Canis lupus familiaris: one gene and its partner. The protein of the gene in region 2 interacts with the protein of the main gene of each other region in a biochemical or structural test. Links are inferred from orthologs where the notes say so. Each region holds a gene or a part of one and is shown on either strand. Other genes may lie near its edges.

Region 1 (6,399 bases), on a different chromosome or scaffold from region 2:
TGGTTTTTATGGAGCACACGCTCTGCCCGGGCAGCAGGCTGAGAGTGGCATGGGAGCAGTCTCAGTGGTCCTCCCAGCCATTCCCTGGCATGTTGCTATTTTCTCCATTTTGCAGAAGGGGAAACTGAGACTTGCTCATCCACAGCCATGTGGCAAGTGCCAGGTGGGGCTGTGAACTCAGGTCAGCCTGACTCCCACACCAGTCCTCTCTGCCCCAGGTGTCCCATGGACATCTGGAGAGGACACTGCCCTGTGGGCCAAAAAAGGTGGCCCGGGGCACCTAACCTGAAAGCCACTGACTTAAATTCATCCTTTGGCTCAGTCAAATTTGCCTGAACACCAGGCACCCAGGAGAGTCAAAGATGGATGAGCGGGTAAGGCTCAGGATAGAGAAGCCAGTGGGGGAGGTGACAAGTCCTGAGCAGAGTCCCAGCTGGGGAGACAGGACAATGCACTGCAAGGAGAGAAGCCAAGGCCATAAGAAGGGCGGGACCTGCTGCCTTGGGGATAGATGGACATGAAGGACACCCTAGGGCCTCAGAAAGTCTTAAACAGAGACAGGGAGGGAGGGAAGAGCTGAGTGTCCAGCAGCTTTGGGGTTGAGGCACAATGGCCTCTGAGAGGAGAGACACCTGCAGGGTCAGGGTCATGGATTGGGGGCTCAGGAGACTGCCAGATGCTGATTTGGCGCCACCATGGGGCAGGTGGGAGACAGTGCTGCAGGGGCGGTGGGGCAGCCCGGGGGTGGGGCCTGTGCCATGAAGGGTGAGAGGAAAGGAAGAGCAGGGACAGAGCCCTGGGAAACACTGGCATTCCAGGGTGTGGGAGGACTGGAGTGACCGGAGGGACTCAGGGACCTTCGTGTATTAATTAGTTCACTCACTCCACAGACGTGTGTGGAGGACCTGCCCTGTGCCAGGCACTGTTCTAGGCTCTGGGAACTCAGTAGTGAACAAAGCACTTGCTTTGTCCCTGCTTTCTCGGATGCACAGGCCAATAGAAGTGCTTTAAGAATGGGTAGTGATACATGCTAAGAGAGAAAACCAAAGCCAGGTTGAGGGGATACAGAGGGACAGAGGGAGGGTGGTTGTTTTAAATGGAATGGACAGGGGGAGCCTCTCTAAGGAGGGGACATTTAAGCAGAGACCTGAGGGGGGTTGGGTGAACCCTGTGGGCACCTTGGAGAGGGGGTGTTCTAGGGACTAAGGATTTTTGCTTTTATTCTAAAGAGATGGGAGCCCCAGGAGGGTTTTAAGTAGAGGAGGGACAGGATCTAACTTAGGTTCCCTCTGTCTGCTGAAGTAATGGACGAGGTAGGGAGTGGGGTGGGAAGGGTGGAAACAGGGAGTCCAGCGAGCAGCCATAATGACTGTCTAGATGGGAGACAGAGGTGCTGGTGCGGGGTGGGGCTGTGGAGGTAGGGAAAGCAGTAGGGACGCAGGGCAGAGTGGGCATGTTTTGTGGATGAGGACTTGCGGATGGAGACAGTTTTTGGAAGGATGGTATTGGTCAGCAACATGAAATTTGTCAGGAGATCAAGTTGATGAAGACTAAGCCACGGCCATTGGATGTGGGAGGTGGGATGTGAGAGGTGACTTTTGGAGGAAGGAGTAAATGGGATGTGAGGAAGCAGAGGCAGAGAAGGGTGTGGCTTGGAGAAGAGGCTTGTTTCCTCTGCTCCTCCTTCCTCTTCCTTTTTTTTCCCCCATGGGAGATGCTTAGATGGGATTAAACACTGAAGGAAGAAATCAGCAGAGTGGGAGCACAGGAGGGGACAGTTGGCTTGGGGAGGTGCAGGGGCTGCAGGGGGATGGGATCTACATCCTAGGAAGGAAGTGTAGCCTTGGGCCATGGAGGAACCCCTTCTTTCTGAACGAGAGAAAAGTCTTGGGAACTGGTAGATGCACGGGTGAAATTGCAGACGTGGGACAGGTGGATGAAGAGTAGCTCTCCCTGTGCCCTCATTTGTCATTGAAGCAGGAGGTCGTTGGTCTGGTGAGAGGATGGAGAACAGTAAAGATGGAGGCTTGGGGAGGTGAGGTTTGGGATGACCCTCATGGAACTGGAAACACACAGACTTCAGGGCAGCACGGAGCCCCCAGTGGGCTGGCTCCAGTGTGTGAGGCCATGGCCTTCCTGGAGGGGGACTCCAGGATGATGTTAGGTTGGCAGCATTGCAGGGCGGGTGGCAGGGAGGGCAGGTGGGAAAGGGACTATGAGAAGATGGTGAGTGGGGGCTGAGGTCAGGGCAGGAATAAGACTGGAGGTTAAGTGCACATGCACAAGAGTGTATATACAAGTGTGCAAAGCAGGTTGGTTAGTTATGCATAGGGCAGTTTCTCCACCTTGGGGACAGATAAACCCAGGGTGTGCTCAAGGTAATCCTTTGGACAACAGAGGAAACTGTTAAAACTTCAATTTACATGATTTCATATGTCATCTTTTTGAAAATGGAAGGTTCCCTTTCATTTTGTTTTATTCCCTGTACTTATATTGATGTGGGGACATGTGCACATATATTAAATAAATATGCATGTATCAGGGACGTAGACATTGTTTGCTGATTGGGCACATGATCTGAACAGTTTGGAAACCAAGGAGTAAGAAGGCAGTGCTCCTTGGAGAGACACCTTGTCCATTGCTGTGCGCCGATTAATACATCTGAGGGCCTTAGGAATCAGTGCGCTTCCCTCCACGCCACGCCGCTCACTGCTCAGACTGTCTTTTGCACCAGGGGCCTGGGTCTCATTCTCTTCCTCGGTTGCTCCTACTTAGGGGCTCCTGCCAACCCCATCTTGGAACACACAGGACACCTTTCCCACCCCCATGCCTGTGCCAGGCCACACCAGCTTCATTCATCTCTGTACCCAGTGCCTTGTCAAGGGCCCGGCACACCATGTACTCAGAGTGTTTGCCAAAAGGATGAAGACAGAAGACCCTAGAGTGGGCCTGGCCTTGGTCCAGAACAGGGTGGAGTGTCCTCAACTCCTCACTCTCTGCCACCCTGTACCCAATGCATCAGCAGGGTCGATTAGCCCCCTCTCAGAATAAAGCAGAATTCCCTGAGCCGGGTCCTGCCCCAAGCCTCCATCACCTCTTGCCTGGCAGCTGAGCAGCCTCTTCCTCGGGCTCCCAGCATGCACCCTGCCCCCTACAGTGTATCCTGTTCAGACCAAGTCAGCTGTGTCTCCCCCGCTCCAAGAGCTGCACTGGCTCCTGTGATGCTCAGAGCAAGAGCCAGAGTTCTTCCTCCCAGCAGTCCCCAAGGCCTGACACGACCTGCCTCCTCTCCCCTCCCCTGCTCATGCACCCCTCTCCCCTCTTTCTCTGCTCCAGCAGCGCTGGTCCTCGAGGTTCCCCTGGCACCCTGACTGCCTTCCCACCTCACGGCCTTTGTACTTGCTGGGCCCTTTGTAGTGAATGCCCATCCCGCAGGTACCAGCATGGGCTGCTCCGTTATCTTACTTGTTCTCTGGGTTCAGACATCATCTCCTCCAAGAAGTCCTCTGGAATTATCTGACCTCAAGGAGCCACCCTGTCATCGTTTGCCCTCTTCCCTCCATTTTACGTCACCTTCTGACGTGGCAGGTATTTATCACTCATCTCTTCATGGCCTCTTTCCCCTACCAGTCCAGTATTGTTTGTTCTGTTTACTGTTACATCCCTGGCCCCTAGGATGGGTCAGGCCTGTGCTCAGAGCTCACTGATTTGGATTTCGCTCAGATGAGTGAATGAATGGCTGTGAGGGAGCCAGGTTTCCAGCTCTGAGCCTGCCCAGTCTTGCTGTGCGGCGTCAGGGCCATCTCTGTCCTTCTCTGTTTCTCATTACCCCCATCTGTACAATTCAGAGACATTGCCTTGATTAGCCTGGCCTTTGTGCCCTGGGCAGGCCTCTGGGGAGGACGCCCCACCTCTCCATGGAGACAGCCGGAGACCAGCCCCCATGCCTCCCGCCACCACCTCCCTGCAGGCCCAGCCCTTACCTTCTGCAGCCACTGTGTGTTGTTCTCCAGCACCTTCTCCAGCTGCTGCACTCGCTGGGTGGGCCAGTCCCCCAGGTTCAGGGGGGCTGCGGGCGAGTCCCTCTGGAGGCTGTTGGAGCCGCCGAAGGCCTCGGGCTCCGGTGGGCAGGGCTCGGGCTCGGGCAGCACGAAGGTGTAGCTGCACTGGCCGTGCTGGACGCGGTGTGCCCGGCGGCGCCCGCCCGCCTCCTGCCCCCTGCGCTGGGCCACGGTCAGGGCGGCCGCGGTGAGGAGGAGGCTACCCAGCAGCATGGCCGGCCGGGACAGCATCCGGAGATGCGGGTGTGGGCCCCGAGCCCCCCGGCACCCCGCCCGCCTGCCCACCGCCGCGCCCCCGAGGCCAGCCGCACAGGCCTGCCTGCCGGCCGCAGCCGAACCCCTTGGCCGGGCTCTGTCCAGGCAGCTATTTATATTCGCTCCAAATACCACAGCTGCTCGGCTTCCTCCCACCGCCTCGCTCCCGCCTGCAGACACCCCCTCACCTCGAACCTTCCCCCTCTCCCTTCCTTCCTCCTGACTCCTGCCCACAGCTGCCCTGTCCCCGCACTGGCCCTGCTCGCCCAGCTTGGCCTCGCCTCTGAGTTCTTTTATTATCCAGTGGAGGCCTGGCTTCCCCCTGAGAAAGAAAACAACACACACACACACACACACACACACACACGCACACACGCACACACGCACACATGCACACACGCACACGCCAAACCCCCAAAGCTGCCTGCTTCAGAAAACCAAAGGCAACTGAACCCTCTCTTCCTGTCTCTGTCTCTCTCTGGCTCTCTCCAGCCTTCCCCCACCAAAGGCTGGGATCTCAAGTTTCAGCTCCCCTTCCCCTTCCCTCTCCCCCCTACCTTCCCCATTCTGATTCCATGTTAAGTGCTTGGAACACAAGCGAAGTGACCCCCAGAGAGAGCAAAGGGGGGGCAGAGGGGTGAGGCTGGAGGGGAGGCAGCGAGTCCAATCTTTTGAGAATGTCCTTTTGAGGCCAGTGAAGTGGGCGCTCTAGCCGGGAGCTGGCTCCCAGCCTCCCTTCTCCCTTGGGACCACGGGGGGGATGTTATGCCCTGGGGTGGCCCTGGCTCAGTTGTTGTGACAGTAATGAGAGGCTGTCCTGTCCTGGGGCAGATTGTTCTAGGACTGCCTTTGGCCCCGAGAAGGGAAGCGGATTGCAAAGAGCATAGCTTGGGGTAAAGAAGTGCCTCTGCCAGCCTGGAGTCGGAGGTGGCTGCCTCTAAATCCTGCTCCCCAGCTGCTGACCCTCGGGTGGGCAGCTGAATTTCTCTGTGTCTCCATACCCTGACTGGTAAGCTGGGTAAACCCCATCTCTTACACGGTGAAAGTAATGTGGGTCCTCAGCCTGGAGACCGACGAATTTTTTATTTACTTTACCTGTTAACTGGTTTAAATCCTGGCTATCCCAGCTGTGTGACTTTAGGCAAGTCACTTAACTTCTCTGTGCCACTGTTTTCTTTCAGTGAACTGAAGAAAATAATACCACCCACTTCAAAGACTGTGAAAATTAGGGGCAACTGGGTGACTCAGTGGTTGAACGACTGCTTTCGGTTCAGGTCAGGATCCCGGGGTCCTGGGATCAAGTGCTGATTAGGCTCTTCACAGGGAGCCTGCTTCTCCCTCTGCCTGTGTCTCTGCTTCTCTGTGTCTCTCATGAATAAATAAATAAAATCTTTAAAAAGTGTGAAAATTAAGTGAGTTAGAACAGGGACGGCAGGGGGTGAGCACCAAGTAAATACTTCTATTGCTGTGATCAGCGTTATAGTTACTACGTATCCTCCCCTCCCCACACCCACTGGAATATGAACCCTATGAGGGCAGGACATGTTTTGGGGGGATGTGGCCGCTGGGCAGGGGGTTCCCAGGAGTGGTGGCACCTCTTCTGGGTGTGCTGCCTTCTGCCTTCTTCTGGGGCTTTTCCCAGAATGAGGGCCCGACCAGCTGTTTGCCATTGTCTCTCTCTCTTTGTTCTCTCAAATCCTATGGAGTTGTGAATGGGCAGCCTGCTTGGGGGCAGCAGGAACCAGGAGCTCATCCGGACGTCTGAGAACTTTAAACCAGGTGTGTGGGGCTTTGGCAGGAAAAGGAAAGGCAGCTGGTTATCAGCCACCAGCATTCACGGAATTTCCTGTGTGCTCAGGACCCTGCTTGCTCACCTGTGCCTTGATTGTCTCAACTGTAAATGGGATCACACTACTCCTGGCCTTGTGAGGAAGAAGCGTGCTAATGCAGGTCAGGAGCTGATCCTGGTGCCTGGCACGAGTGAGCTCAGAGTAAGGGGCAGTACGTGAGGATTGTATTGGTTGAGCTACATGGTATGAGCCCGACCAGGCCAGTGTCACTATTGTCCCCATTTTACAAAGGA
Region 2 (4,780 bases):
TTTTAGAAAAATATATTATTGCATATGAAACCACAAACAGGCATTCTGATTTCAGCACATTCTTACTCAAAACAGTATATACAGTCCTACTGGAGTCAAAGTGTACTATAGATTCACACACAGGAGTTTTTGTGGTCATGTCCCAGACATAGCAATATATATATACACATTTTTATATTCCACGTCACCTCTGTTGGCAGAGTCTTGCTTGCTTGCTTGGCATCAGGGGTCTGACATGCCAGGGAAGGGGCAACATTACATACAAATGGATGTGGCTTGTTCTAGGCTGCTTCTTCGGCAGAGCAGTCGATCCCAGCGTAGGCAAACTTCTCATAGAGCGTGGTATTCACATAGGTCTAGGATAGCAAGAGTGGTTCAGACATACAGGGTCCCTCAGTACTGCCTCTGCCATGGGCAGGTACAGTCACACCCCGGTTTCCTTAACTCCTTTCAGTTCAAACACTAGGTACCTGGGGGACATTCTTCTGTCCTCAGGCCCCATGTTGTATTTGACATCTTTCCTCCTGAAGTTCATCCCTCGACTTCTGAATGTAACACTCCACAGTTTCTAGGCCACTCTCTGTGGCCTTTCTGAGGTCCCTCTGGAGCTGCCCCAGTCTCTCAGGATCCTTTCTTCACCCCCCAAACCCCCACTGTGTGATATCACTCATGTCTCCAGTTTAATTACCGATTGGCTTGTGGTGACTTTCAGTCTATTTCCCTATCCTGGATTTGCCTTTCAACCCCAGATCTGTATCACCAACTACCTGCTAGACATGTTTATGGAATTCCTGGCCCTCCCCCTAGGAACCTGCAGACCAGGCTAGACTGTCTACCGGCTGTGTGTCCTTAGACACATCACTTTCACCTCTTTGTATATATTTCTTCTGCAAAATTCAAGAGTCAGGCTAGATTCCTGATGAGGTTCCTTCTATCTCAGAGGCTAATGTCTACCACGTGTGACTATCTTTCATAGAAATCTTATTACCTCTGAAATGGTAACATCCTCAAAGTTGGGGGCAGGGGGCACATCTTTTATGTCCCTCTAATATCTCAGGCTATGCCCAGAACAACTTGTTGAGTTGTATCAACTGTTTTTGTTGTTGTTGTTGTTGGGTTTTTGTTTTGTTTTGTTTTTAAGCCATATAGGGTGCGTGAGGCATTGTGTTTCAAGAGCCTGCCCAGAACTCCATGCTTACCTTGCGTTCCTCTAACATCCTGTTTAAGGACACCAGGATCTGGGCAAATGAGGGCCTCTCATAAGGCTTCTCCCGCCAGCATTGTCTCATGAGGTCATATCTTGGAAAAGAAAGAGTTAAGCATTGAACTCTGTGACTCTGCTTCAGTCCTTGGCATGGCCCAGTGTGGGGTATGGAAACAAGAGAAGATAATGTAGGCATTCCACACTTGGTCATCTGTCTATATTTAATCAATAGCACAAAACTACAGCCCCAAGTTTCTATCTGGCCTCCCACCTCACTCCACAAGTCCTCTTTTCTTCTTTCCGCAAAACTAGTGCCTATCCTGAGTACCATTCCTATGGGATCTTGGTCTCAGCTCTTCTGATTATCTGGAAAGAACAGAGTCTAGAGCAACACTTCCCTTGGAATACCACATCTCTCAAAGGTTAGTAATTCATTGAAAAAAAGACTCCATGTTCTAATAAATTTGCCAGGTGCCATCTATTGCATCTCTCTCTTAGGGATCAGCAGAGTAAAATCTTGAGAAGTCTTGCCATTACAAACAAAAAACCTATTTAACCTGACCTAACATGGAATTTGCCAACCATAAGTGGCCACAGCACTTCTTCCCCCTTGTATCATCTATTTGTATCTTGTGTGTCTCATGAACATAGTCTGGGAAGCCCTGGTCTAAGGCAGTACTCTCTCAAATGGGGTCAGAACCACTTACGTTGTCAAAATGCTGTTTCCTGCGACTCACCTTAGACCTACAGAAGTGATGTCAGAGTGGGGCTCAAAATTTCACATTGGGACCAAATGCCTCACGGGAACCTGATGTGCACAAAAGACTAGGAACCTAGCATGGTCTAGGTTTATGTCTCTGGTACCAGGGACATAATTAATACCACTCTTTCTTAGAATTGGCTCAGCTTGGACAATAACTTCTTGGCTGAACCTAGAGCCTTGCACTTTCACAAATGCCAGTCAGGCAGCAGCTACTTCAGGTAGCTCTGGGAATGGTGGTGAAAGCTAATCATTCTTCCCCAGGGAATAATTCTTACTCCTGGAAAATAATCCTTGCAGAATCAAGATTCTGTGACCAAAAAATCCATCTTCCTAATGTCACAGCTCTGAAATCTCTATCCCCAAAGTTAGCTTCAAGGTTTCATACATTTATTCATGAATTTCTTTCAGACCTCCTCTGCAGTTGTTGCCTTTCTTCATTTTCACCTTCTTGATACCATCACCTTAAATTCCTCCCAGATGCCTATGCATATAAAGCTCTTAGCTCCCTGCCCACTGCACAATGGTCTTAGTTTAAGGAACCACCCCCGCTTTTTTTTTTTGGCTCTTTGGGATCTCAATGTGTGTGTATGCATAGATATACACATATGTATGTGTGTATGAATCAGGTAACCCCTTCATTATACTCTGCCCAAGAAACATGCAGGGGAGGTTAAGATAAAATGGCCTTAGGGTGCAGCCTGACTTACACCTCGTCATCACAGTTTAGGGGCTTCTCCAGTCTGTAGCCCTGGGGCAGTTTCTCGTACAGTTCTGCGCATGTCATCCCGCAGTAGGGGGTGCCACCTGGAAGACAGAAAACCATGTTGCCCTAAGCCCCCTCTAGTGTGGAATGCAGTGTTTCCTGCCCCATGCCTCTCAAGCCGAGAGACTGGGAGAACGGCAGGGTGTGCCCAGGGAGGGTGCCCAGGCAGCATGGTCTCCCTCTGAGCAAACCCACTCCACATCACAGCGGCACATGTGCCACAAACCGCGCCACAGAGCAGCCGATCCCTCAGTGGAAAGATCCAGCATGGGGAACCGGACTTATTGTGCTGTTTCCCTTCCCTAAGTCAGCCTGCACAACCCAGCTATTATACCGATAAGATGTCACTTTTCCCTACTTGGGAGCCTGCAGTTAGGTTATCCAGTTCCTATTTGTTCTATAATAGTGACTGACCAATTTTAATTCTAAATCATACAGGTTTATTATAGAAAACTTGGAAAATACCAAAAAAGTATGAAGGAAGCAAGCCATAGTTTGTATTACTCTTCTTTGTAGTTCTCTCAGGTTTTTCATGTGTAGTAATTATAAAACTGCAATCATAGCATAAGGAACTTTCTGGGTTTTGGCCTGCATGTTTTCACATGCTGCTAAATGGCCGTCAGAGATGACTCTTCATGGCTGTGTGATGTACCATCTTCAAGTTGTAGAAGCAAACTTGTGATAGTTCTGTGACATCTCTGCTCAGAGACAACCTATAATGAAGCTCACAGCCACCAGGCTGTTAGTATTAAATATGACATTAGCTACAGGTTCTTTCAAAAAAGAACCCTGGGAATAAACAGACACCTACAGAGAAACCTTTAAAGTTCTATTCCCAGTCCCTTCTGGTGGTGCCACATAAAGACCTAAAAATGGCACCTGTGGAATTCCACAGTGAGGAAGCATAGGAGGGGCCCACCCCCATTGCCTGAAGTCTCACCTGGCGGATAAACACGGATACTCACCTAAGCTAACAATCTCCCACAGTAACACTCCATAGGACCATCTGCAGGGGAGATGATGGAGAAACCAATAATCAGCAAACAAGGTGACCAGTTTTCTGCCTCAAAATTCTGGATGACTGACGCTTTGCCAGAAAAGGAAATGTTAAACGTGTCCTCCCTAGGACAGGGCCCTGTATGTGGCGTATGTGTCATCTCCTCTTAGGCCAGTGGAAGGATTCTAACAGGGAAACAGTGTTAGAGCCCCCACTGACTTTAGGCGGAGAATGCAAAGTGGTACTGGGGACAGCAGGTGCATTTCTAAGCTGACAGACTGGAGTTAAATCCCAGCTCCGCCACCTGATACTCGTCACCTGGGACAAGTTACTGAACCTCTTGAGGCCTTTTGGTTATTCTGAAAGTGGGGACACCAGTTGCTGCCTCGGAGTTATGCAGACAGGATGTGAGAGAACATATAAAATGTACCTTGCATGCAGTGAGGACACAAGTACTTGCTGGCCCCCCGCCCTTCCCCGGGCAGAAGCTGAACTCCCTGGACAAGTCACCTGAACCCTTGGGGCCTCAGTTTTTCCTCCCGTCAATAAAGGTGTGGGCAAGATGGTGTACGTCTCACTTCCAAACCTTCCTTCCAGCCTCCTGAGACTTGTCCCTGCAGGCTGCAAGGGAGGATGATCCCTTGATCTGGCCCGCCTTCTGCCCCTGCCACCTCTGACCCCCAGCAGCCTGCCTCCATGCTCTGGGTCCTGCATGCTGAGGTCAGTCTGGGAGGTGAAGCCACAGGAAGCCCCATATGGCCCTTGTCCCTCTGGAGATGGAGAATTCACTACTTCTCCTTGACAGGCAGAAGGAAACCCACAGCCTGCCCCCAGTGATCTTACACAGTGAAAACTGTCTACTCTGAGGCTTCATTTTTGCAGACTAGGAATGTATTTCCTGGGCTTATTGACTAGCTTTTTTTCCACAGAGGGACAGGATATTCCTATTTCGCTTTAAGACCTCTGTCAAATGCTTATTCTTCTGGAAAAAAAAAAAAAAAACAAACCTCAGAATAAAAGGCTTACTCACACATCACTGTTGGTTGTGTACAC

What was found.
Region 1: the proteins of TEK (region 2) and ANGPT4 form a complex in vitro, tested with the Homo sapiens proteins (2 studies listed by BioGRID and IntAct). The link is inferred for Canis lupus familiaris from reciprocal best matches to the Homo sapiens genes TEK and ANGPT4.

The regions. Positions count from the first base shown.
Region 1 is NC_049245.1:20,524,631-20,531,029, reverse strand, and holds the start of ANGPT4 (angiopoietin-4), read right to left. Parts: upstream 4,293-6,399; coding exon 3,984-4,292; intron 1-3,983. UniProt on the Homo sapiens protein: Binds to TEK/TIE2, modulating ANGPT1 signaling. Can induce tyrosine phosphorylation of TEK/TIE2. Promotes endothelial cell survival, migration and angiogenesis.
Region 2 is NC_049232.1:45,611,583-45,616,362, reverse strand, and holds part of TEK (angiopoietin-1 receptor), read right to left. Parts: coding exon 4,758-4,780; intron 3,737-4,757; coding exon 3,696-3,736; intron 2,772-3,695; coding exon 2,675-2,771; intron 1,300-2,674; coding exon 1,200-1,299; intron 357-1,199; coding exon 282-356; 3' UTR 1-281. UniProt on the Homo sapiens protein: Tyrosine-protein kinase that acts as a cell-surface receptor for ANGPT1, ANGPT2 and ANGPT4 and regulates angiogenesis, endothelial cell survival, proliferation, migration, adhesion and cell spreading, reorganization of the actin cytoskeleton, but also maintenance of vascular quiescence.